2 linked regions of the Neodiprion lecontei genome follow. The protein of the gene in region 2 binds, or shares a complex with, the protein of the main gene of each other region. Links are inferred from orthologs where the notes say so. Each region holds a gene or a part of one and is shown on either strand. Other genes may lie near its edges.

What was found. The genes of interacting proteins can lie anywhere in the genome.
Region 1: nuclear cap-binding protein subunit 1 (region 2) and nuclear cap-binding protein subunit 2 share a complex: the UniProt entries of both Caenorhabditis elegans proteins name them as parts of the nuclear cap-binding complex. The link is inferred for Neodiprion lecontei from reciprocal best matches to the Caenorhabditis elegans genes ncbp-1 and ncbp-2.

Annotation. Positions count from the first base shown.
Region 1 is NC_060261.1:34,858,354-34,866,266, reverse strand, and holds nuclear cap-binding protein subunit 2, read right to left. Parts: upstream 4,572-7,913; 5' UTR 4,418-4,571; coding exon 4,349-4,417; intron 4,266-4,348; coding exon 3,945-4,265; intron 3,771-3,944; coding exon 3,666-3,770; 3' UTR 3,620-3,665; exon of another isoform or gene 3,541-3,619; intron 3,345-3,540; exon of another isoform or gene 3,202-3,344; 3' UTR 2,898-3,201; downstream 1-2,897. Other genes in the region: ras-like GTP-binding protein RhoL, read left to right, coding at 1,613-1,742, 2,115-2,229, 2,341-2,458, 2,587-2,789; MICOS complex subunit MIC27, read left to right, coding at 5,512-5,526, 5,648-5,820, 6,096-6,241, 7,198-7,431, 7,515-7,584, 7,691-7,886. UniProt on the Caenorhabditis elegans protein: Component of the cap-binding complex (CBC), which binds co-transcriptionally to the 5' cap of pre-mRNAs and is involved in various processes such as pre-mRNA splicing and RNA-mediated gene silencing (RNAi).
Region 2 is NC_060264.1:26,560,252-26,571,284, reverse strand, and holds nuclear cap-binding protein subunit 1, read right to left. Parts: upstream 7,972-11,033; 5' UTR 7,734-7,971; coding exon 7,694-7,733; intron 7,372-7,693; coding exon 6,408-7,371; intron 6,249-6,407; coding exon 6,077-6,248; intron 5,980-6,076; coding exon 5,774-5,979; intron 5,615-5,773; coding exon 5,511-5,614; intron 5,375-5,510; coding exon 5,139-5,374; intron 5,015-5,138; coding exon 4,836-5,014; intron 4,700-4,835; coding exon 4,444-4,699; exon of another isoform or gene 4,335-4,443; coding exon 4,221-4,334; intron 4,055-4,220; coding exon 3,941-4,054; 3' UTR 3,355-3,940; downstream 1-3,354. Other genes in the region: fructose-1,6-bisphosphatase 1, read left to right, coding at 1,890-2,357, 2,602-2,791, 3,163-3,354; NAD-dependent protein deacetylase Sirt6, read left to right, coding at 8,437-8,502, 8,617-8,744, 9,393-9,511, 9,615-9,738, 9,862-10,035, 10,139-10,262, 10,374-10,976. UniProt on the Caenorhabditis elegans protein: Component of the cap-binding complex (CBC), which binds cotranscriptionally to the 5'-cap of pre-mRNAs and is involved in various processes such as pre-mRNA splicing and RNA-mediated gene silencing (RNAi).

The DNA of each region.
Region 1 (7,913 bases), on a different chromosome or scaffold from region 2:
TATAAGTATATGAGCCTTGCCCGCCGGATGTAGGACGAGCACGGTTTTATACACACAGTCGTCCTACTCACATGTGCGTGTTCATTATCATATTATATCTATCAACCCACAGCTGTTTGTTGGTAGCTGAAAAGATGCCTTTGGGAGGCTCAGGACGTCCCTGCAGTTTTAGAACAAACGTGCATGAAGTAAGCGTCGTAATTAAATCGTCCCGAGTTAATGCGGGCTCTGTTAGAATTCACGTTATTAACATTATACACAATTTCAAGCATTAAGAAGAGAGAGGGACCCTGGTGAAAAATTCTACTACTGAGAATATTTACAGAAATTGGGCCATTTCGTATTACATATTTCTTTCAAAATTGTAAATACGCATAATTTTTCGTAATGATTTGTCAATGTTATTTAAAAATTGTAGTGCCTTGTAGATTTATAATTGAAAAAATACAAATTTTCATGAAAATCTACAATCTTTCACGGAAAACAATTGTTTGTACAAAATTTTACGAAATGTCCCAATTTTCCTAAAAATTCGTAGAAAATCGTATAAATAATTTGCACCGTGGTAGAGAGGAGGACACAAACTGCATCGCACGGGGAGAAACGCGGCGGTATCGTGCGATAACTTCTTTCTCGTCTGAAAAACAAATACCTACTCAAAGTGGTCACCATCGCGTTTTTCCGCTTATCACGATTGTCCGTCTGCCAATATGCATCGTATGCATCGTATGCACTGCAGGAGATACTTGAACGCACCGACTCCGTAGGTGTAATATTTGCGATTCCACACAGGCGAGCACAAGTGCTTTGCTCCGAGGGCCGCGCGTTCCGAGGGATGGTAATACGTAGGAATTAAGTACAATAAACGAGCCGGAGATAAGAGAGACTATGAGACTATGGCGACTACCGGAGCGCGTGCGAGGACAGGATGCGTAGATTGACAATGAGTGACACGAGCGAGTCTAATGAATTGGTTTTGCGAAGGCGCGCCGAGCGTGAATTCCGAGCTGGAGGAACAAGGAGCTACAACTGTTCCAACTTGCAGGTCGTAAGGCATAGGTTTTTCTTTTTTAACCCTTTGACTGCCGTTGCAGCATATTTGCGACAATGACGAAACAGCTATTTTTTTTAATATTATCTTCAACTTGAATTTAGAAGCCGTAAAATGATTTGAAAAATTGTAACGCACGGTAAAGAAAATTTTCACTGAATAATTTCATTTGAAAAACTTTTTGGTTAAGGATGAAAACAGAAAAATCGTATTTTTAAAAGGTGTAATTTTTCAAATATTTTGATTGAGAAAAATTTCAAGCGGTTGGAAGATATGTTTTTTTTTTAAAGGGGAAAAAGGCTTGGCCGTTAAAGGGTTAAATTGTCAACCGGCCCAAAAAACTGTCGATAAAATGAACGTGCGACGCAGTTGTAGTCAGGATGAATTTAACTCGGTAATCGATTTCCGACCGTTCTTTAAAGAGTTCGTCAAGTGCGAGAATAAAGTTTTACGATCAGAGTGTCAAGTCTTCACTCCGTATCAGCGAATGAACGATAATTAACGAGTTTACGGGTGCACGCGCGTAAATTTTAACACCGGAAATTCTCTTCTTTGTTCCAGAGGACGCGAGTATGGTGTCTCGGATACGACCGATAAAGGTCACCGCGGTTGGTGACGGCATGGTCGGTAAGACGTGCATGCTTATCACATACACGTCCAAGAAATTCCCCACCGAATACGTTCCCACAGTGTAAGCATCAAGAAACATCAAATAAATCGGCCATACTAATTCCCTAATTTCAAATCAAATCGAATCTGTTCTATTACCAAACTTTATACAATTTTTCATAGACTAAAAGACACTCTCTGGTGAATTTCAACCCTTAATTTAAAATTAAAAGTTTTCTATTTCTTTCTGATTCGAATTCATTGCAATGAAAGTTTTAAAAAATAAATAATTTGATATGTAATTCATGTTCATGTCAAGATTTGCGAAAGAAAGGGCTTCAATTCTAGGAACATCTGCAATTCCTTACCGCAATGCTGTGATCACATATTTTTAGTGTAAACAGAAAAGAGATCAGCTATACTTTCAGTTACTTTCAACATTTCTTTCGTCCAGGTTCGACAACTATGCAGACAACATATGCGTAGATGGACAGGAGTTCAATATGGTGCTTTGGGACACAGCCGGTCAAGAGGATTACGAAAGGCTTAGGCCTTTGTCGTACCCGAACGTAGGTTTACAATTTCAATTACGTCTGTAGTTGAAAATTCTATCAAATTTTTAACACTACAAAAATCCCGTATTATATTTTTTGCGAACCAAACTACGATATTCATTTTAGACGGATTGTTTTCTCCTGTGCTTTTCGATAAGTGCGCGCAGTTCGTACGAAAACGTAGCCAGCAAATGGTATCCGGAAATCAAGCACCACTGTCCCAACGTGCCAATTGTCCTTGTCGGTAAGTGTGTAATAAATATTTCAAGTATTCAATATTCCACATTATGCTGCTACGAGTGATGTGTGTTTGCCAACAACTGATCAGACTTTAGATTCCACTTAAAACTATTTATCATATATCTTGGATAGGCACTAAGGGTGACCTGAGGAACAGGGAGGACACGGATGTAATAACACCGGCAGAATGTAAGAAGATGAAGAAGAGAATCAAGGCCTACAAATACGTCGAATGTTCGGCAATAAAGTCAGAGGGACTGGAAGAGGTATTTGTAGAGGGGATTAGATCCGTGCTGAAAAAACCGGCACCGCGGAGACTGTGCGGTATTCTTTGAAACGGAATACAAGCACAATCGTATACATCACATATATTCACGCGGTACTTTGAAAATTGTTGATGTTACGGGGCTACCCGTCAATAAGAAACGATAAGATTATTGTTATTAATTTTAGCATTACTATTATTATTATTATTTTAACCGGTGCCTACCATTAATAACATTAATATTATGATTGGACAAGTTATATCGCCGAAGCTTCATTTCTGATACTAAAAGACGCGAAAAGAACGAATTATAACCAAAGAATCCCTCTCGAGTCCTGCCGTGTACATACATATATATATATACAGTATTGTTCAGAGTATAAGCGGTCCCCGAATTCTGCGACAGTATTTCAGGATGTTTTTCTTGATTACACGCACAGAAGACTGGTCCGCGTATTAGACGACGACGATTTTGGCGGCTGCTGTCAACGACAAAAAAACCTCGGCTTATATCCAGAACAATACGATATGCATATATAATTGTAATGTATAATGTGCGAATATACGTGTGTCTTTTCTGTACAAAATATAATAATTAATAAAAAAAAAAATCTTCAACTGTCAACCAAAGTTGTATCGCGCGTGTACGTTATACATATTAAATATAATATCCGTAGGAATAAAGTTTTTTTACGTGCATATTGTGGGTGTGAAAACCTTTCTTCCATTTGTCACGAAACATGAATCATTTAATGACTTACACAAATATAAATAAATGAAATAAGGAGAACCAGATAGAATAACTCTTTCGCACACGAAAGTTCTTTGTCACCCCAAATCTTTGTATATTCATCACAATATGCCTGTAGTTGTCAATGAATAGAATTAAACAATACGCACATCACCGATCATGATCAAATGTGATTGTCATCCATAAGTGTGTACTTCATCGACCAAATGCCCCATCCACAACGGGTGTTACTTTTTGTTGGATTATTTTTCCATAGCCACCTCTGCCACCGTCAAAGTCGGATCTGTACTCGTCTCTGACCTGGTAATTAGATGAAAATTATCAATCATTATAGTAACTCACGCAACATGTTAAAGTATCAACTTGAATCTTAAAATCAATTCAAACTATTAGATAAGTTTCCTGACTGGCAGAATTAGTCGGTGCCCCGTATTCAAGTTCCCCGATATTCAGGTATAGAATAAAGTATCTTACCTGACCACCTGTCTTTCCTCGACCATACTGTCTGCCTTCGATGAACCCAGCGTCCCAATCCGTACGTATAATTCTATCGTCTAAACGGGTCCCATTAACATATCGCATACAGTTTTCCGCATCGGGTCTCAAATAGTACTCGACGAAGCAAAATCCACATGGAGTTTTTTTGTACTTATCCAGTCCCATAATAATTCGTCTAATGTCTCCGCACTTTGAAAATAGTTCATATATCTGCTCCTCTGTAGTGTAAAACGAGAGATTACCAATGTACAGAGTCGTCGAGTTCCTTAATAATCGGTCCTGTTCAACTCGAGATCCCTAAAGGAGGAGTAATAATGTTTTTTAACACGTCGAATGTTATTGAACAGGTTATGTTAGCGTAGAGTGATCGAAGTACGAACCTTAAAGTGCTGGTCACGATAAGAGCTGAGGTCAACCGACGGTGAAATTGGACTGGTCGATAGTGCCATCGCTTTATCCTCGTACCGTGAATTTGGTAATCAACTTTTGTAGTATCCCAATGTGTTTATTCGACCAGAAAAGTCAAATGCGCCGTCAAACTCCGACATACGTGCGTTTATGGCGTTTACGCTGCGTTCCGACGTTTTGCTCGATAGGAACGCGGACGGTGGACCGCGAGCCGAGCGGAAAGCTGGAAACGGACTGCGACGAACCCGCCATATTTGAACGACCCAACCCGAAATTCAACCTGAAAACGCAACAAATCCAAATGGTAAATTATTAGTTTGATATGTAAGACGTGAGCGAAAGATTAAGAACCAATATAACGGAGGATGAAGGACATTGTGCACAGTATTTTGGAAAAAACGGTTGGCAATATTTTTGGTAAAGACATAACTTGTCGAGAGCCGGTCGATCGTTGCGACGACTACCAACCAGGAACTTTGGTCGAATTTGGCCGAACCGGCGTTAAAGTACGTATCTTTATCACGTCATTTTTAAGACCCATTTCAGCGATGCTGTGCGCATGGATCGTCCATGAGTTCAATGTCGGTATTGAGGAAAAGATAAGATAATTCTTCAAGATGCAGGACGATGTATAACGGGTATGCAATAGTTGTACAAGCGCACAACATGTGGCTAATAATTGACGGAAAGAGACGACGTAAAAGAAAAGGAATAACGAACAAGTCGAGAGTTGTAAAAACAAGGTCAATTGTTTTTTCCATCTTCACTTGCATGCGTGATTGACACTGCGAAGAGGGAAAATGTTTTTACCGTTAATTATACACACATAGCGTTAATAGCATCGAAAAACATCCGTTTCAAATTCTCGTTACCTCGCATATTCGCATTTCACAACCGTTGGTATCGTGCATATCCGAATCGCAGCTTGTTGTGAAATTTTTTCCCAACATCACGCGGACATTAAATTTAAACAATCGGGTCCGCGTTCCGCCCGTTCCGCTCGTTCCGGTCAAGAATATTCTTCGTCGATTACGTCACGTGAATGTCTGCTGGTACAGCTGACTGACCAGTGACACTCTTGATAGGTTATCCGACCTTTCGGTATAAGTAGAAGAGAAATAATCCGTCGACCAACATGCACGGAATCAAGGTAAATATTGCGTGACGGAGTAGAAAGACATTTAATTTCAAATTTTGATATCAATTTTATCAGTACTCCGATTTCCAATTCTATTTTAAATTCATATTTTTAACAATTGTTGTTACTTAAGTTTTTCAAGAAATTCCTGATGCCTTGTGGGCTGTGCGCAGCGACACCGATCGTCAAGCCGGCCCCTCCTCCGTCAAATTGTCCAACGCCTTGCGAACTAGACGAAAAGAAGTTGATTCGCCCCTCCGAGTTGCCGATATATACGCTTGGCTCACCGTCAAAAGTGGACCAATGGTAAAGCAAGTAATTGATCAACGCTCAGAATTGTTTTCAGTCAAGCCTGCAATTGATGCTTGGATATCTGACTCGACGTCCCTCAGAGCAAACGAACCCAGTAAGGCATCCTTTCGATCGCGTCCCCCTTTATCCCGCACTTCATAACATTGGTTCAGCCATAAAATGTGTGAATTATTTCAGCACAAGTATCAGCAGTATTAGACATAATTTTTCTTAGGTTGCTTACATTATCGAGAGTCATGATGTTCTAAACTAGACATGCATTGTTTCAGCCCCACACCTGTCAATTGTGAGCCGTCGTACTTGGAACAGGGTTTTGGCACGATCAGGAAGTCCTTGTCTGGTGTTTTCACGCAGTATCAACATATTACCGAATCTATTACAGACAAAATAGATACAGGAGTTGCACACAGTGAATGTAAGTCGATGTACTTATTCGTATCACTGTAAACAACGGAAATTCAAATTTGAAGCAGAACATCACTGCCGTAGGTCCTTAGCATCTGCTAGACTCGCAATCAAACGTTATTTGTTCATATTCCAGCTACTCCAATTTGTAAGAAAATAAATGACGAAGAAAAAATTTTCCATATGATACCCGTCGTGTCTGGTTAATAAGGACTTTTATAATGGATCCAGACAAAGTTCGACATGTACAGTATAAAAAAATGTTGCTCAAAGATGCAAGGAGCATACCAGGTTCGACCCATGATGAATTGCACGAAACAATTTTTCCTTCGATCCGATTCTTATGACAATTTTTCCCCCATCTTCTCAAATATTTCTAAATATACATTCAGTAAACAAATTTATGTAGCTATAAGATGTTTGCTGAAAATTAAGGTAATTCTAGTTGAGAATTCCACTTTGCAACAGAGGATCATGGAAAAATCTTGAAATAAGATTTAGTTGGGAATATCTATTTTAAAATGATTTACATCAAATATGTCTGCTATGATTATTATCTGGATTTGGTAACTGACTTCGCTGTAAAGAATAACGAGAAATTGCTTTTGAAATCCTGTCGTATGGAGAACTCAGCCATCCTGTAGAGAGAGTTCAAAACACCCATTTCAAAGGATAGATTTCTCACTTACGCAATGTTTTCCACAATCAAGTCACAATTACCTTTCAAGAATTTGTAAAACAGTTAGACGCGAATATAAATTTGGTTTCAAAAATAAATACATGGATAGCGGAGGTGTCTAGTTATAAAATATTGCAAAATGCTGTGCAAAATCAAAATTTAATTTTTCAGCAAACTATTGTATTCTCCGTTGACTTTTACTGCAAGGTTTAAAAAATTATTACACATGAACAGAAACGGTCGTGTAACAAAACTCTCATCTTCATAACAATTCGTCTTTTCTACAGCCCTCTACGAGTACCTGAAGGAGGAGAGCAATGTTTTGCCACGAATGGGAGCGATCGGGATCGGAGCTCTTTCTGGTCTAATACTGAGCCTCCGAGGCGGTGCGTTCAAGAAAACGTTGTACACAACCACGGGTGGTCTGCTCGTGGCCTCGCTCTGTTACCCAAAACAAGCCGCAGAAGGGGTTGATCTTGCCAAACATTACGCAAACATAGGTTACAACTTTGCTTACGGAAGTGAGTATATACCGGCATACAGTTTAAAAGTTTTCCGAATATCTTTGACAATTCCTATCCTCTTGACTTCCTCGATAAACTAGATACGGAAGATCCCCTGGATAAGGAGCCAGAAAGTTGCAACGTTACTAGCACACAAAGAAACATGCAAAAGTAAAAAGCAACATTAGCGACACAATGAAACCACCAGGTCCCTATCCTACCCCAAAATTCCAAATCCCAGGAGTCATAAGCTATATCGGAAATGTTCAAAATACAGAAAGAAAAGGAAGAAATTTTCAGTTAAACCGGGAGATGAGCAGTTGGAGATCCAATTTCCAGAACTTCCTAAGCTGAAGATACCGACGTCGCTTAACGGGCTCTTTGATCAGGTAGTAGAGACGGGAGCAGTGGCAGGAGAGACCATCGGCAACCTAGCCAGCAAAGCGTCGGAATACTTGTCGGAATCTAAAGAGGTAAATCGAAGCACCGACATTCCTATA
Region 2 (11,033 bases):
GGTGGGGGATATTCAGCTTAGGGACGAAAACAAAAGTGAATAAAATAAATGAAAGATCGGCGCTTATAGAAGTTGATTACTTTTACTTGTAATCCATAAAATATATTTTCTTCCATTGAAACAACAATTTTACGTAATATTAAATTGTAAACGCTTCAGCTGACAACGCGCGGGGCATTTTATCACCACTCAAGTTTTCTTTATTACCAATATTATTACCTGGATCTATATCTTACGGTTCAAACACGAGATAATTACCTATGCGCATATGAAAAATACATGCACGAAATTTTGAAGAAATGTAAATTCAAAATTTGAATGAAAGAATACGTAACATAGCGATAAGTTCTATTACAAAATAATAAGTGAATAGATAAACCATGGCAAATGACGTATAATTTGTTTGTAAAATCATTGCCGCAGCTAAAGAGTTGCATGTTCACGATCAGAAATAAAAAAACGCGATAACGTCGATCAAAAAACTTCTCTATTCCCGATTTCTATAATAGCTCAAACGGTCCTTCGATTTACAGAACTTGATAATTAACGTGTTAAATTAACAATCGTGTTAGAAGTAAAACAACCTGCATGTGTACAAGATACGCCGTCGGAGATTATTAAAAAAAAAAACGGAAAAAATTGAAACTAACGATAAGCACAGAGAACTCTATTACATATTGCTTAATTTTTAATTTCGTTTTATCTTAAAATTGGACTATCGAAATTGGAAATTTCTCAATCACACACATCTGTATGTTCGTAAACACTTATTAATAGCTGTAAACAAGCATGTTTACTGTTCGAACGACCAAAGTTTACTCAAGACAGATAAAACCGTTCATTAAAAACGCGGTATGTGATGTGTATGTATGTACACATTCCTAATTCGATTCCTATCGTTAGTAAATGCTACGAAATCCGGTTAATTCACCGAGCTGCCTGAGTCACAGTTACGTACTGTAGACCAATAGAACCGAAATATTGGTTTTTTCAACGGCAAAGATTCCGCTTTCTCTTACTTCAAAGTTATAAAAATAAGATGAGTCAGGGAATGTTGATAACACTAATATAACGTGCGTAGTTGAAATCCCCGCTTAATGTGCCTGGGGTCAAATTAGTTTATCACTTATCAGTTACACATAGATTACACCTCAAAATAGAATATGTGTACATGTAAGAAAAGCAGAAGTGAACATAGCTATAGCCAATTGAACTATGCTGTAGCTGAAAGAAATAAAAGCTTTGAATGAATTTTTTTTATATCCAAAATTAAAATGATTAATTTCAATTTCATGTAACATTCGTAATTATCTCTTTCAATGAAAAAGAAAAAGTACGACGTGATTATCGATTTGAGGCATCCGTTGAGGTTTTTCCGGTTTATACACATATGAAAATAGAACAGCTTCGTTTATTCAAAGTTCAGAAAATATAAAATCCTCTTTGATGAATGAATTGTTCAAAAACAATCACAAAATGCTGAATTTTTATGAACTTGTGATTGACAATATGTGAATAAATTATGGGATAAAAATTTGTATACAAAAGTTCATTTACGATCACACCCGAACGATTTATCTGTTAGAAAGTGTTTTCATTTCATTTCAATATAGTTTTCATTACTAAAGACGCGAAGAACTCATGCATTTATTTCAAATGGAAAATACCCACACGGTGTGAAGCATTTCTTGCACTTGACCTGAAAATTTTTACATGACAGGAAGATGTGTTTATTTTATTTTTTTTTAAAAACTAATGTTTAAACCTTGGTACAGGCAAAATAATAATATCTTCAATAGTCTAATATGCATATTAAATAACGATATGATAATTTTACACATTGAAGTAGCTAGTTGTACATATGTACATGTAATTTACTTGGTTCAAAGGTACGGTATTGCTGGGTGCACGAACGTTCAGGGTGAAGAAGTCAAAAAATTAGATGTCCTCAGCAATGAACTCTTTATAAACATGCTGACATCTTCATTTACGACCTGTCTCCTAATCAGTGAAGAAAATGAAACTGTGATCGAAGTAGAAGTTGGCAAACAGGGGAAATACATCGTCTGCTTTGATCCTTTGGACGGCTCGTCAAACATTGATTGCCTAATATCCATTGGCTCAATATTTGGAATCTACAAAAAACAAGAAGGCTCAACCGGAGCACCGACAGTTGCTGATGCTCTACAGCCAGGTCGTAATCTGGTAGCAGCGGGATATGCGTTGTATGGTTCGGCAACTATGTTGGTACTCTCAATTGGTCAGGGTGTCAATGGCTTTATGTACGATCCAGCTATTGGCGAATTTATATTAACAGATCAGGACATGAGAATACCGTCAAGAGGAAAAATTTACAGGTATTCTAAAATATGCGCACAAGAACAGAACAACAAAGTCAATACTCATAAACCTGACATAAATCAAATTTTATTTGAATTGAACCTAAAGTGTACCTTGCAACAAGTAAATTATATATCGAATTGATACGTAAATAAAATGATACCTACTTTATACAAGTACTTTTATGGATGGGCTTAACGTATCACGTGAAATCGAGTTAGTTTAAATGGCGAACAATAATTTATTGTTTTTATGCTGCAGCATAAATGAAGCTCACGAAAGTAAGTGGTCATCGGCGATAAAGGATTATGTCCATTCAAAAAAATACCCAGCAACTGGCAAGCCGTACAATGCCAGATACGTGGGTTCAATGGTAGCTGATGTACACAGGACACTCAAATACGGTGGGATATTTATGTACCCAGCAACAACAGAGAGCCCAAAGGGAAAGGTATTATTCAATTTAAATAACAGAGCCTACCTGTGCACAATTCTATAAATTTCGCCTAACTGATACACGCACTTTCTGACCAGTGCATACAATTATCGTGGTACATGTTTGGTAACACGAAATTCGCAAGAATGCACAATCAAAATATGGCTACAGCGATTCTGGGATTATGATTAGTTTTGAGGCATGTTTTACCGAAGCAATATCCATTGACAATTTGGTCTAATATTAAACTGATACTGAACAGCTGGTGTAGAAGTTATCTTAGGTTAGAAGTTCACTGAATAACTAAACTACTTTTCCCAAACAAATGTGAAAAACAGCATTACACAATGTGTAAATAAAATGTATGATTTTGATTTTGTTGCTAGCTTCGTCTCCTCTATGAGTGCATACCCATGGCATACATTTTAACGCAAGCTGGTGGCCTTGCGACAAATGGTGAAATGAGCATACTGGACATTATACCATCTACTATTCATCAAAGGAGCCCAATATTTTTGGGGTCAAAGGATGACGTTGAAGAAATTTTGACTCACATGACACGTCAGAAAACTCAGTAGATTGATATACATACATACTCGTGAGTATATCTCCAAACTGTAACATTATGACACTTGTGAATCCCTATGATAATATCGTTACATACGGTCCATTCATATCTGCAGTGAAATTCTGTCATATTATCGCCCAGGTGATGCAATTTGAAACAGGTAAACTGTTCAAGCATTCAATTTTTAATTGGATTAAAATAAAGTCTTTCTCTTCCTCTACATTTGCTTGCATGAGTCGGTAATAGATAATTTTGATTCAATATTATTCAGGTGTATAGGTTTCTGTATATACACCCATGTACATTGCCAGCAAACTGCTGACTTTCATTAGCATACAACACTATAGGTAGAACTGAATATTCTGCTACCGATTGAAAAAATTCCAACAACAATTTAGACTTGATGTACATTAACATAAATACGGATAATCAAATGTCATTTAAATATACTCGGAAACTCTATTTACCTAATATTCACGACTGAAATTGTCCTAAGAGTTATCAATAAAATAATATAACTGTATATGTATAATATATGTATATATCATACTTCATACCAATCCCTTGAAGACGAAACGTTCAGTGATTTGAACATCTTATGCACGTAACGAAACAAACTGGTGAAATACGTCAAGAATGTGTGGATCCAGATCTGGCGTGAACAAAAGTGTTTCCAGTGTTGACGAGTATTTTTGTACTTGTTCGTGATGCTAAAAAAAGAAGTAAAATTTCTCTTTTAACTTGTAGTGAATTAATCATAACACTTGCGAACTGATTAACAGCTTTCTATAATGCATTACACTCTTCTAAGCGATCAGTTTGGTAGTCCAAGAAAGCCACTAAAGAAGCGTTGAGGGTTTTTTTTTTTTTACTTACAGCCAAAAATACCTGCTGCAACCTTCCAATAGTCCATCTGTACCAGTGAGTATTGTAATCGATGCCATCTGTATCACATCTAACAAGATGTTCGGAAAGAATCATAATAAAACGCTGTAAAAGAATAAAAAAGCAATTATCAAGTGTTTTGAATAAGTGCCATCTCACAGCTTACATAACATGTTCAACCGAGATTGCAAGTATGTAATATTAATAATTATACCTGAAAAATGATGAGGAATAAATTCTTTTGATCTGCTTGAGCAGCTTCCAATTTTTCTTCCATTCGCTCTACAACGTCTTCAGATGGTCTTTCTCCCGACTTATCTTTAGTATTGTCCTCATCTTCCGAAGACGATCCAGATCTACTTTCCGCCCTTCGTAACTTTTCTCTGGCCTCCGTCACTTCTGTGTTCAGTTTAATGACATGTTTATTCTTTTTACGGATCGTCAAATGAAGAATTTCCCAGATGTAGAGTCTGAAAATAATGGGGTTGCGATATTTAGCTTGGTTAAAATTAGTACCAAGTTCTAAGAGTCATATTCTATTTTCGATTATTAATTAAATTCTAAGATAAAAGTTTGTAGAATTGGTTCAAAATTACATTGACTCACTTAGTAAATTCAGATGTCATTTCCCGAGAAAATATCCAATTGGCTATAGCACTGCATTCAATTATTCCAGTCTTTAAGAATTTGTCTGAGAGTACAACCATCATTTGATAATGATTTTTCCATAGGGCATGCATATTTCTTAGAATGCATATTTGTGCCTCCTCTGATTCGGCCAGAGCCTATGAAAAACAAGCAAAAGTCTGCAGTTAGGTTCAATGCCACAAAATTTTGTCAAACTATTTAACATAGGTATGAAATGATATAGTTCAATATAATGATTTTATAAGAGAAAACTATTCTTACCTTGAATACATAATGAAACTTCCCAATAGCGGCGAAACTGTGGCTGAAGCTCTTTGACCCCAGGTTAAGCAACGTCTGTACAAATACGTCAATTTTCAACGGATTGAATGTGTTTGATTCCTCATTGTCTCCTTGACCTGGTAAGGTATTCAAAACGGTCAATACTTCTTCAGGGGTGCATTTGCGGCGTATTGAAACAACTAGTTCATGGGCTGCAGAAGTTCCAGGAAGTGTGCCTGAAAAAAATTGAGCAAAGTCGATTGCTAGAAAGATTTATTCAAGAAAAGATGACATTCTAATATAATGTAAAATTTATGATAATGAAATGATACTGTGATGAGATATCAAATATCAGAGTGTAAAAATACTGACTTGCGCCTTCGGAAGTGTACTTGTAAATTGGTTCTGGAGGCAAAGGGATCAGTTCGGCGTAAGTTTCTGGCATCATATCGCGAATTCTTTGGAAGTAGGATAGTCTGTAACAAAAAGTATTTTTTGATACATTGATGCATGGTAATTATCAAAATATCTCTGATTTTTCAATCTTTGATCCAACAAAAAATGGTTTGTATATTTTGTTTAAAGGATAAGCTGGAACTTTCATCTTGTAGAAATGAGGAAAAATCATTTCTTACCTCAATGCTTTCAGCAGCACTTCTTTTATGAATTTAGGCCGAGGATGTTCAGGGTCACGCTGGAGGCATGAGTCCCAATCTTCCCATGACCAACGAAATTGGAAGTTGCTCAGATGATAGGCAAACCACCAAACAAATCTATCGAATGCTGCCGCAGCCATGCTGTCGATGCGACGGAATAAAATTTCGGTAGCCTGTGCTAAAACCTTTATAATACAGTGCAGGGTGTATAAGATACTATAACACAGCGAAATTTATTATCGTTACCAGTTAAACTCATTGGGAATTTATCATTTATATTACCTGTGGCATAGTCGATGGTTGCAACTTACAAAGTTCAATCAAAATCGATCCATAGCAGATTTCCAAATGTTTTGGAGATGGTAATCTGAAGAGTTCTCCAAACATTACTTCCACAATAGAATAATCAAGTGGAATTTTTGCTTTGTATGGAAAGTTCAATAATTGCGCCGCGCTGTAAATCAGAATAAAAATAGCTTCATTGAAAATAGGTATTACTGGTTTTGAAGTGAAATCATATAACAAAGTATTACCAGCAAAAATCGAAAATGATTACAATGTAAGTAAAAAAGAAGTAATTAAGAAAACGAGAATAACAGAAGATGAAACTTACCAATCTTTTCTTTCAAAAAAGTGATTATCAATAATTTGCCGAAGATGTTCTTCGATAAGAAATCTCTCTATAGCATGACTGCCAGGCAGCAGTGGCCCTTCCGCTGGACAGTCAGTATAGTCAAACATGCGAAATACAACAGTTGGTATTGGGTACGTGTAAGATTCATGGTGTGGTGGAGGCAGAAGCGTTGGAAGATTGTGTTGTAGAGCTTCACATAAAATAGAGTCGAAAGCAAGATATGGTCGAGGAATGTGTTTTTCCGCCCAATTATCCTGCCTCAATTTTCGTACTTGAGCCCAGAGACAGTCCAAATATTCTTCCTGAGGGTGAGGTGTGTCACTGGACCATACTTTTAGAGCAGGTTGATGTTTCTTACTTCGTTTGTTCAAAAATACTTCAATGGTGACCATAAGGTGATCCAGTTCTTGCTCTTTCTTTTCATATAACTCTCGACCAACCCACGGCAGGGTTGAGAGAACAGCAAAAACGTACCAGTCTCGTCTAACTTGAGGTACGCTGTCCTCATTTGCCGTGTCTAACATATTATCAAAGAGCTGCATAAGCGACCCGCAAGATAAAACGTGACAGTTGACTAAGTCAGCAAGAAACCGGAGCGAATATCTAGCAGCGTTCCATTTGCAACTTTTTAAAGAATCTTTAAAATTTTTCACCATATAGTCAACAAATTCACCACCAAAGTTGAAATTCTTTGCATTCAGCAGCCCCACCAGCGTCGTGTAGATCGTACATTTCTCTGGCATTTTTATAGCGCAATCAGTCAATATTCGGAGAATCTTAGTACGAAACACACCGAGATCCGCTTCTAGCACAGACGCTAACCCTTCCAAATTACTTTCTAATGACGAAGTTGACTTTTCACCCACTCGCAATATAAGCGATTCCAGGCGATCTTCAATTTCCTGATTCTCTGATACCCTCCTCCGCTTCTTATAGACGCGGTCTGCAAATTGAAGTTCATCATAGCATACGACCATCTACTCTGAGATTCGTCTTCAATGTCATTAGATTAATTGAAAACAAAAATGTGGAGTAAGAAGAATTTCTCACAAATACGTATGTACATACATATGCGACTAATAAGCATCAGGTACAATGATTGGGCCAAAAATAAGGTTAGATTAAATAAGGTTAGGTTCAATGAATTCGACTAGCGTTGATACTTAAAAATTCAATATAAATCGGGGTAGTTTGAAATGGCTGCGAGCGGTGCGATACTCTAACATATGGTGAGATGAGAGCATGTTTTCTATCAGTAATCATACCGTATCCATCGTCATCGTCATGTGCTCTCCTGCGACTCATAGTTTCGGTGCAGGATTACAACGGAACCAACAACAAACGTAGAACACGGAACAGGTTGCCACGGTCCGTTATTAACCTTGGATAAACTGAAGCCCCGAAATTTCTAAAACGTAACTTAATCCAGAGAATACGATCTCTCCTGTATAAAATGGATCTTCGCCAACGACAATCCGTTGTAAGTCATTTGATGCTGGGTGTCAAAAAGTTGCAATCGGAGCGTCGAACGTTCGTTCAAATTAGTTCCACGACGGACTTTTAGGTGGCAGAAGAGTCCGCGACGACGTTGGACGACGCCGAGCGTCGCTCCAACGCGCAACCTGCTTTGCGCAAAGAGTAGTTTTATGATCTTTTCTGGTGTTCGTTGTGGATATTTGGTGGTGTCCCGTGGATTCCAAATAGTGAATAAACCTGAGTTAGATTTATTTCTGAAAATTTTCATCGACATTTTGTCGTTTACCGGTGTCTCATCAGTAATCGTAAAGTTCCCGGCAAATCATAATCATAATTTTAAAATTGTTTATATTAAATTTCATCACCGAAGGTCGGCGGAAACGCACGAACCCGAGCATTTAAACGTGGATTTTTGATAATAATTACGTCATCATCGACGGGGGTAGGGGGCGGATTATTATTTGGCAACAAGGGTTGTTGCTCTGCGGCCATTGTTAGCCGCTCGGCGGAAGGGCGTGAGGGGAGAGGGACGATGTCATGCAGCTACGCCGATGGTTTATCGCCGTACGAGAACAAGGGTCAGCTTGGCCTCGAGGAGGTAATTTTCGCCGTTATGTACGGTCCGAAGTTGGCTTGGCGATATCGCCATTGGGCAGTAATTGCTGATCCTCCAGGCGAATCAATAACCCAATGCCACTCTCCTCCTTTTTAGAAATTCGACAGCGCCGAGACTCTTCGTATCAAATGCGATTTGTTGGCTGATTGGATAGACGGGGCACGTCATGTTGTCGTTCACACCGGCGCGGGAATCAGTACCGCTGCCGGTATTCCCGATTTTAGGTAATTCATTCATTCGAGGACGCTCGTTAGTAATTGTAATTAGGGTACTTCGGCGTCATGACATTACGTGCCAACGTCAGCTCTAGTAGATTGCAATCACGAGATGATTTGCGGATAATTTCATCGAAAATAACACTCTCTTCGTACAGTATAGATTCATAAAAGAGTTTTGCGATACCGTGACAGCTATGACAAGCGGGAATATTTGTGCCATGAATTTTTGAATTTAGATCATCTCGAATTTTTTCCTCCAACTTCGTTTCTAATTCATTCGTTTTATTCTATTAGATATATCCGATTTGTGCTTTTTCAAATTAATTTCGAATAATTCACAGAGAGATTGATAGGGTAATTCAGATTTGTTGCTAATTTTCTGAATTAAATGGACATGTCGTCTACTGCAAAATTTATTGATATTACGCACATTGTATACATGAGACGATTATTCTATATGTCAAGTTATTGTTATATTTAGAACATGAATTGATGTATCAATTCAGCACAATATTTTTATGTTACTGTCTTTTCAAACTTGGATAATCCTGTGTACCAAAATCGCCTAATAATATACTTCCAGTTCAAATGAATGCAAAAAATACGTCACTTCTCAAACGTAACAACCTTAATGTTATATGTTTCCATCCATAGAGGACCGAAGGGTGTCTGGACTTTGGAGGAGAAAGGGTTGAAACCTGAAATGAATATATCATTTGACGAAGCAAAGCCAACCAAGACTCACATGGCTTTAAAGAAGTTGATTGATTGCAGTAAGGGTGTACCTAGCATAAGACTGTGGAAAATTAATTAACAAATTAGGAAAACAATATGAAATGTTGAATCTGATCCTAATCGGATTTTGTTGCTCCACAGATAAGGTCAAATTCATTGTGAGCCAAAATATTGACGGACTGCACCTGCGATCTGGAGTTCAGCGGCAGAAGCTTGCAGAGTTGCATGGAAATATGTTCACTGAACAGTGTGACAAGTGTGGAAGGTACAAGTTTGTTTACACTGTAAGAATTGATATGCTTAATTAGAGGTGTGATTCGAGTGTAAAACAATATTCGTACCCTAAATTATCGCGAGATCATAACGCACTTCCTGATTTGGTTCACAGACAATTTATTCGCAACCTTGCTACAAAGAGTGTTGGGAAAAAATGTTTGGGAACGGTATGTCGATCTGAACAAATTGGAGGACGACCTTGTCGAGGTCGAATGCATGACACGATACTTGACTGGGAGCATAACTTACCTGACAATGACTTAGCACTGTCAGACCTTCATGCCAGGTCAGTTTGTATTCCATTGTTATAACTTTTTTAACCACGTTTTGATTTCTGGCACTTCAGAAGAAAAATATAAATCAAATTGTCAACAATTTTTCAATTACAGTGTTGCCGATTTGAGCATTTGTCTGGGAACAACTTTACAAATCATACCAAGTGGGAACTTGCCTCTTTATACAAAGAAGTATGGTGGCAGACTTGTTATTTGCAATCTGCAGCCAACGAAGCATGTAAGGATGCTTTTCAAGTAGACTTCATTAATTTTATTTCAACCGTAACCTCAGTCTTGTCTCTTAATACAATTATCAACTAAATGTTTTGACGGACGATCATTATTTTAGGATAAAAAAGCAGATTTGGTGATAAACGGTATGGTCGATGACATCATAGTGATGGTAATGAAGAAATTAGGTCTGGAATTACCAGAGTACGACAGCAAATTAGATCCAACAAGAAACACAGACATGACATCCAATCAGATGGATTGGACAATACCGACAGCACGTGTCAAAGAGATGAAAATATTGTACAAAAAAGTTTGTAAGCCAACGCAGCGAAAGCGAAAGACCTTCATGTATGAACGAGAAAAGGAAGAATTTCCGAAAAAGTTGAGCAAAGAAAAAATACCTGCAACCGATGATAGAATGTTAAAGACAGAAAATGTAGACCATATATTGGACGGTAAGTCTGTGATGAGAAACACTGAAATCATAGAGATGGATAAGGTGAAACAAGAAGATGTCGATACGGAACTTCAAGTCAAACAAGAAATATTTGAGAAAACTAGTCAGAATTCCGTAATATTGGCTGATGACGGTACATGTGCCTCAGATAGGAAATTTTTCTTTAAAGGTAAATCAGATGACAATGTTGCATTTAATAGTCCAAGTGTGTCAGACAACAATCCAAGTTCATGTAGCAATAATAAAGCTTCTGTGATTTAATATTTTACCTCAAACTAATATTCTCAACAAATGTTTACTCTGCAACAAAACTATTAA